Linked DNA regions of Alligator mississippiensis. The protein of the gene in region 2 purifies or fractionates together with the protein of the main gene of each other region. This does not show direct contact. Links are inferred from orthologs where the notes say so. Each region holds a gene or a part of one and is shown on either strand. Other genes may lie near its edges.

What was found. Proteins that work in one complex are often made in the same cells at the same time.
Region 1: the proteins of XPO1 (region 2) and RCC1 purify together in Homo sapiens (affinity purification with mass spectrometry; 3 studies listed by BioGRID and IntAct, with this or other methods). This does not show direct contact. The link is inferred for Alligator mississippiensis from reciprocal best matches to the Homo sapiens genes XPO1 and RCC1.

The regions. Positions count from the first base shown.
Region 1 is NC_081829.1:2,129,246-2,132,987, reverse strand, and holds the start of RCC1 (regulator of chromosome condensation), read left to right. Parts: upstream 1-823; 5' UTR 824-903; intron 904-1,431; 5' UTR 1,432-1,443; coding exon 1,444-1,516; intron 1,517-1,859; coding exon 1,860-2,047; intron 2,048-2,599; coding exon 2,600-2,779; intron 2,780-2,865; coding exon 2,866-2,962; intron 2,963-3,576; coding exon 3,577-3,699; intron 3,700-3,742. UniProt on the Homo sapiens protein: Guanine-nucleotide releasing factor that promotes the exchange of Ran-bound GDP by GTP, and thereby plays an important role in RAN-mediated functions in nuclear import and mitosis.
Region 2 is NC_081824.1:212,302,775-212,306,516, reverse strand, and holds the start of XPO1 (exportin-1), read left to right. Parts: upstream 1-1,035; 5' UTR 1,036-1,174; intron 1,175-1,524; 5' UTR 1,525-1,542; intron 1,543-3,742. UniProt on the Homo sapiens protein: Mediates the nuclear export of cellular proteins (cargos) bearing a leucine-rich nuclear export signal (NES) and of RNAs.

The DNA of each region.
Region 1 (3,742 bases), on a different chromosome or scaffold from region 2:
CCTCCGAAGTGGAACAGGTCAAGCAGCTATGCTGTGTGAGCCCCGGGAAGATCCTTGCCCTACTGAGCTCACACGTGCATCGATGAATGACGATTTGGGACTTTGTCTTTACCAACTGGGGGCTGCTGGGTGTTTGCTCTTGTTCTGCTCTTGGGTGGCTGGTTTGTATCTGTTTAACAGACGGGGGAAGTTGAATCTGAGAAATGACTTTGCAAAGGCTGGGCATCTTGACTCGCTCTTAACAGAGCACGGGGCCTTGTGCATCTGCAAAATATGTTGCGGGCACCACCTTTGGAGAACTGCCCCAACTTCCCACCGACGTCAAGAGCCACACAACCTAGCGCGTGGGGCTACTTGCAACACCTCGCTTCTCTCGTCTTCCGCAGTGAGGAACTAAGAGTAAGAGATTCATGATGGCTCGGGTGAGCTGCGTGATGGCCTCGGTTGCTACCCTGCAGCAAGATGAGGTGGTTGTGTTGCATGTCTGTGCCAGGGGCAGGATGCGCTGGAGGCAAGGCTGAAGTCCCCCAGGCTTGCTGCTGGCGGCTGGGGCAAAAAGGTTGGGGTATAAGCTGCAGGACAGAAGCCGGTAGGAAGCAGGAGGTTCAGGCCTCCTCGGGGGGGTCCTCTGAGCCCTGCACACTCCTGCCTTCCCCGCCCGGGGGTTGGAGCCCGGTCCGTGAAGTGACCCGTGTGCACGGAGCGATGACCCCCGCCCGGTCCTGGCCCGGGGGAGGCCGGGCTTGCTCGGGATCGCGCTGCAGGATCCGGCGGCTGCCGGCTGGGGGCGCCGAGCTGTCCCTCTCGGTGCCCGGCTCTCGGGCGCATGCTCCGGATTAAAGCGAGTGGCGGCCGGTGGCGGTGGGGGGCAAGGGGCAGAGAGCGGCGCGGAGCGGAGCGGAGGTGAGGCGAGGCGCAGCGGCGGGGGCTCCGGCGCGGGGGCTCGGCGTCCCCGCCCCCGCTCGGCGTGGGGGTGCCCGGTGCGGCCCCACGTGGCGCTGGGGCATGGAACGCGGCGTGTCCCAGCGTTCCGGGCACTGAACGCGGCGGGGTCCGAACGTTCCGGGCACGGAACGCGGCGTGTCCCAACGTTCCAGCCCTGGAACGCGGCCGGGGCCCGAACGTTCGGTGCCCGGAAGCCGAGCGCGGCGGGCCGGGAGGCGGGGGGGGCCCGGCGGGCTCGGGGCCTGCCCTGCGCGGCTGCCAGCGCGGGAAGTTCAAACCCGGGCGCTGCCCCCGAGCCCCGGGCCGGGCCGGGCCAGGCCGGGGTGGGATCGCGCTCCCCCAGCCCCGGGGCCTGCCTCCCTCCCTCCCTCCCGCATGTCCAGCCTGCAGCAAATCCGGGGTTTCCGGGAGGCCTCTCTTGGCTTCTCTCTGTTTTCCAACCCGGCTTCCTGGCAATCTCTCACCTTCTTCTTTTCCGGGGCGCAGGTGCAGAGCAGCATGTCCGGGAAGCGCGCGGCGAGGAAGAGCCCGCTGCCCGAGGATGGCTCTCCGGAGAAGAAGAGGGTTAAAGGTAGGTCTGCAGAGTTTTCTCCGCCGTCGCAGGCCTCTGACCCCCTGTGCGGTCTTTCTCTGGGAGGAGGCAGGCTGCGGCGCTGCTTGCAAAGCCCAGGTGCGTTCGTGCCCCGTGCCCCTGTGTCTGCTCCCTGACAGCTTGTGTAGACACCTGTGGGCAGCACGGGGCAGGTCTGGCTGCAGCCCCCGGTCCCTTTCACTGGTGCCCAGCGCAGGAGGGTGGCATTGGGTGAGCCCCTCCTTCCCACGGCTTTGGAAGGCCCGTCTCGAGGTGCCGTTTCATGACCCTGCCGCCTGCGCCCTGGTTTTTCGAGCCTTCCCCTTCCTTTCCTCCTGTGCAGTCTGCCACGCGTCCCACCGGACAGAGCCTGGGCTGGTGCTGACGCTGGGGCAGGGCGACGTTGGGCAGCTGGGCCTCGGGGAGGACGTGATGGAGAGGAAGCGGCCGGCCCTGGTGCAGCTGCCGGAGAAGATCATCCAGGCGGAAGCAGGAGGCATGCACACGGTCTGCCTGAGCGTGACGGGCAAGGTGAGTCCCCGGCACCTTCGCCCACGGTGGGTTGCAGTGTCGGGATGGGCTCAGTCAAAGGCCTGGGGGCTTTGTTGGGCACCCTCACTTGGAGCTGGCTTGTGTCAGGTTGCTGGCATAGTTGTGTTGGCAAGGGGGGCAGCGGAAAGTCCCCAGCAGCCCCCTCCCCCTGGCCGGCGTAGCTGGGCTGAGAGAATCCCTGACGGGAGGCAGCTTTGCCTGCAGAAACAGGCTTCTTCCAGCTGAGCTGAGGCTAGTCCAGGGCAGGGTGCTGCTGGCTGGGAGCCCTGCCTGGTGCTGTTGGCTTGAAGCAAGCAGGCTCTTCTCTGCTGCCCTGGTGAGGTCTCATACTAGCCCCCTCCTACGAGCCACCCTGGGGGGTAGCGGGCTGGGCGTGGGCATGCAGAACCAGGGTAAGTGACCCCATGGATGTGTGTGTGTCTCCATGCCCATGGTCATCCACGGCGGGCTGGCTGGTAGATCTCTGGGTTGGAGCCGGGCGTCTCCTTGTGCCACTGGGCACCTTTCTCACTGCCACGTTTCCACGTGCAGGTGTACACCTTCGGCTGCAATGACGAGGGGGCCTTGGGACGCGACACCTCCGAGGAGGGCTCGGAGACTAGGCCGGGCCTGGTGGAGCTGGAGGAAAAGATCGTGCAGGTCTCTGCCGGTGACAGCCACACCGCAGCGCTGACGGACGACGGCCGCGTCTTCCTCTGGGGCTCCTTCCGGGTAAGCCGGCTGCCCGGGCGCTGAGAGCTTGCTGGGTCTTCCCAAGTTGGGAACTGACCCTCCTTGTGTCTCGTCTCCGCTCTCAGGACAACAACGGCGTCATCGGCCTGCTGGAGCCCATGAAGAAGAGCGTGGTGCCCATGGAGCTGCAGCTGCGGTCATCCATCATCAAGATAGTCTCAGGTGAGCCTGGTGCCTGTGCCTGGGGGATGAGCTGCTCCCACCAGGTTTGGAGTCTCCCTCGCTGCTCTTTGCCACCGGCTGTGCTGAGAATCCAGCATCCCTCCTTTGCTGCTGTCGAGCCCAGGCTTTCTCGCTGACCCCAGGCATGCAGCGCCTCTGTCCCTTGGAAGCAGGGAGCCAAGGAGGTGTGCCCAGACCACAGACAGGGGCGTTGGTGACTGTTATTAGGCCCTACCAGCACAACTGTGTCAAGTCAGGATGTGAAAAGTGGGCATCTCTGCCTGCAGGTTTAGCAGCTGGCGGGCTTGGGATCAGCCAGGTGTTCGTGGCATGCAAGAGTGAAATGCCGTTGAGCGTTAGCATTGCACGCTCAATGCATATATGCGCCTTGGCTCTTCTGGGCTAGCTCAAAGAGGAAAGCTTCTGGCTTCTCTCTGCATAGTGAGGCTTTTCTGTGGCTTTTGGAGCTGGGCACGGTCTCTGGCAGTCTCCCGGGGGTTCCCAGCAAGGTGGCTCTCCAGGGGAAGTCGCAGACACCCGTGCATTTAGCAGGAGGATGGGAGTGCAGCAGGAAGGGCTGTTGTTTACCCCCCCTTCCCTCTTTGTCACCCCAGGAAATGACCACCTGGTCACGCTGGCCACAGACGGAAGCCTCTACACATGCGGCTGCGGAGAGCAGGGCCAGCTGGGCCGCGTGCCGGAGCTGTTCTCCAACAGGGGAGGGCGGAAAGGACTGCGTGAGTTGTGCTGCATGTCTTGAGCATTAAAGACCGGCTTGAA
Region 2 (3,742 bases):
AACCCAAATCAAAGAGGTCCAAGAAGGCACCAAGCGAGGGTTCAAACCTTGTGCTCAGGAGAGTTTATCATTCCTCTCTCTCATGAGAAAATCACCCACTGACTCCTCGATTTGCATCTTAACTGACGGCCTTTCTTGCATGCACACCAGCCTCTGGCTTACTATCCATTCCCTCCAGAAAGAGCGTACACCAGCTGCAGGGGCTTCCTCATTCTGACGAAGGGTATTTATACCCGAAAGCTTGCAAAGAAGTTTTCCAACTATTTGCGTTGGCCTAATACAAGATATCACATTTATCCAAAGAACCTTGTCTGGAAACGTTGAGCTTATTTCTTAGGACAGAAACGGGTTTGCAAGTCAACCTCTTGCACGGACCTTCTCCTAGCATGGGTTGCAGCTGCAGGGACTGAGGCTACTGCAGGGACGAGCCCAGGGATCTACCCCGCTTCCTACAGAGCAACGGGCTCCTACAGCCCTCTCTCCACCCCGAGACAGGCAGGCAGCGGCGAACAGACCGCGCTACCCTGCCCCGCTGCGCAACGCCAAGGGGCCCCACCCCTCCCCCCAAGGCAAAGCCAAGCACCGCCCCTCCCTCCACGCGCCTTTGTGATCACGCACCCCCACTCCACTCGTACAAGCCCGCCATTAAAAAAAAAAAAGAAAAAATAAAAAGAAAAAAAGCGCCGCTCTCTACCTCTACGTCATTCCAAGCGCCCAGCCAATCAGCAACAGGCCCCCTTCCCCCGCGCCCGCGGGGTTGCGAGCTGGGGGCGGGCTCGCGCTCTTTGAGCGACAGCTCAGCGCGGCCAGTGAGAAAGCAGCACCACTCCCCTCCTCCCCACCTCCTTGCGCGCTCAAATGACTGCTGGGGAGGGGGCGGGTCCTCTCCTCCCCCCTCCCTCCCCTCTCAGCCTCGCAAGAGATGGGCAGGCCAGCCGGCCAATGAGAGGCACAGCCGCTTGCGCGGCGGCCCCGGCGGGAGCCAATGGGAGTGGCGGCTGGGCGGAGGCCCGAGGTTTCCAAACGCTCCGCGGCGCCATGGGCTGAAAACTAAACCGAGATGGAATCTCCCAGTCTGAACCGGTTTGAGCCGGTTCCGAGCCTGTGGCACTAGGAGGGGGAGACGCGCCGCGCTCAGTCCCTACCGCCGCCGCCTCCGCCACCGCGTGTGCCTGTGTGTGTGGGGGGGACCTGCCGCCGCTCCGGGAGGCCGAGCGCAGCTGCGGAGCCGCCGCCGCTCCGGGGGGAGGGACATGGGGGCGCAGTGAGCGCGCGCGGCCCCGCACCCCCAGGCCCGGCCTGGCCTGGCCCGGCGCGCAGGCGGCGGGGGGAGCCCCGCGCACGCAGCCCGGCCCGGAGGCGGCAGCAGGGGCACAGTCGAGCCCTCCCGGCGGCGGGCGGGGACCCACGTCCACCCGCCCGCCCGCGGGGCAGCAGCGGCCTAGGCGCGGGGCGGCTCCCGCGACTTTTTTTTTTCCCTCCCCTTTTTTTTTCCCCCTTCATTTTTTTTTTTTATTTTCAAAGGCTGCCAGCTCCACTCGGGTGAGTGCCGCGGGGGGGAGGAGGCGCGTGTGCGGCAGGGGCGGCCGCGGGCTTCGCGGAGGGGTTGAGGGAGGCTGGCGGGAAGCGGTGGGGTGCGGGGGGAGGGGGCGGCGGGTCGGGATCTGCAAATTATTAGGAGTGGAAGTTTCCAGAAATATTTTCGTGTGTCTGTGCAGCAGGATTGAAACGTCCCCCCGCGTCACGTGGGGGCCTGTGTGGAGCGCGCGGCTCGGGCGGAGGGAGGGGCTGCAGTGGTGGCCCTGCCGCCGCCGTCGCGCCGGGCCTTGCCGTCCGTGCCCGCGCCCGCGCAGGGGGGGGGGGGCTTGCATCAAAATAATAACGATAATCATGATGTGTTTAAGGAGGGATGTGGTGTCCGCGCTGCAGTGGCGGGGGGAGGGTGCCTGGGAGCTCCCGCTGCAAGCGGAAGGCTCTTGCTTTGGAGGGCGCTGGAGCCACGCGGCGGGCGCGCACGCGGCTTTTTGCCTGGAAAGTTGCTTTCTGGTGGCCTGTGTGCTTGAATCCCTGCCCCCCCCAGCACGTGTGCACATGCAGGCGGTTGGAGAGTTTTATTAGGGATTTTGTGTGCGCGGGATGGAAAGGAGCTGATTATTCGCACCCCTGGTGGGTGGGTGGGTGGTTTCACATGTGACTTGTCCTTGCAGGTTGGGCCACTTCCTAGCCTAAAATGGGGCGTGGTGGGGATTTTCTGCTAGCCCTGTGCTTAAATGAAATTACTGTTTCCCCCCAAGCCTTAAGCAGTTGTCGCCTTTTGTAGAGTTGAATTTGACCTAGAGGTTATCCTTCCTTCCCCCTGCTCTTTGGAAGTGCACCCTATTCCAGCAGCCCAGGTCTTTTAGAAGCAGGGTGCAGATCTGTTATGTAGCCACAGACTTTGCTTTCAGCACAAGTGTTTTTGTACTTCTGCAAGGCTGCTCAGGCTTGGCTCCACTGCATGAACGGTTGGCTCATTCTTTTGGGCTTCTATAAACATCTGGTTCTTTCCATGTGGCCTACTTTCATTTTTCATTGACTTGTTTAGTTGTCTTTCCTTTACTTGTTTTGCTGTCAGTATCCAGGTTTATTAGGAGTGTTTTGAGTTAATCTAGTGCAGCACTTGGAGGTAATGCTTAAACTCTGCTTTGGTTCATGTGGGGAGGTGGTGTGTAGTAAATCAAACGTTACAGTTCTGAGGTAATCATTTCGGCTAGGAGTAAGTAAGGAATCAAGTTGATCAGAGGGAGGCTGGCATTGACCACAAAGCCGCCATTTCGGTACTTCACATCAAGACTAGGTAGGTCATTTGAAGATAATGCTGGGAGTGGCAAAGAGCTCTAATCCGAACATTTCCTTTCTGCTTCCGTGGGGCTAACTTTCCTTAGTCACGTGGAAGATGAAGTGTGTTTTTACCACTTGTTTTAAAGTGGTTGAAGGAGATTTAAACTTAAAATAAATGTGGTTACTAGTGGAATATGTTGATTTAAATGTTGGCTGAATTGAAAAACGGCTACCCTGTTCCCTGGTTAGAGAGCGCAGATGCAAACTGAAAGGGGTGTGTCTGACTGAGTGCATTTGGGTGAAGAGGGGGGTTATTTGTTCTTAAAGATTGAATCGATTGGGCGGTTTTTTTGGTTTGGTGTTTTGTTTTTTGGTTTTTTTTTTACTAAATACTACTTACTGCTTTGTCTGAGGTACAGTTGAGAGGGAGTCTTCCAGAGCTAAAAGGAACTAAGCGTGTCAGTGTGCTTGTGTACTATTCAGCCTATTTTACACTCCTGTATCTGTCCTTTGTATAATCCTAAAGGAGGTGTGGAATCCAGAGAAAAACATGACAACTATGTAGGATTTTTTGAAGTCTATAAGCCACTTTTTTTAGATTTGGTGTATATCTTTCTGGATAAACTTGTCCTATACATGCTGGCATTTACACTAAAAATGCTAACGATGCAAAAATGTAACTAAAAATTGAACGATGATATTCATGTGTTGCCACCATGCTGAATTAATGAATTTCATGATTTTAAAGCAAAGTTCATATATTTCTCATTGGTATTTAAGTAGTAGTATTCTGTTTTATCTATAAATAGAAAACCTGTTTAGCATTATTTAGTTATATAAATTGGAATGAGGGGCTTTCTGAATGAGCCTTTTTCTGCAAGATCTTTTTTCATATTGTGCAGCAGTTGCTTAAACTGTATCC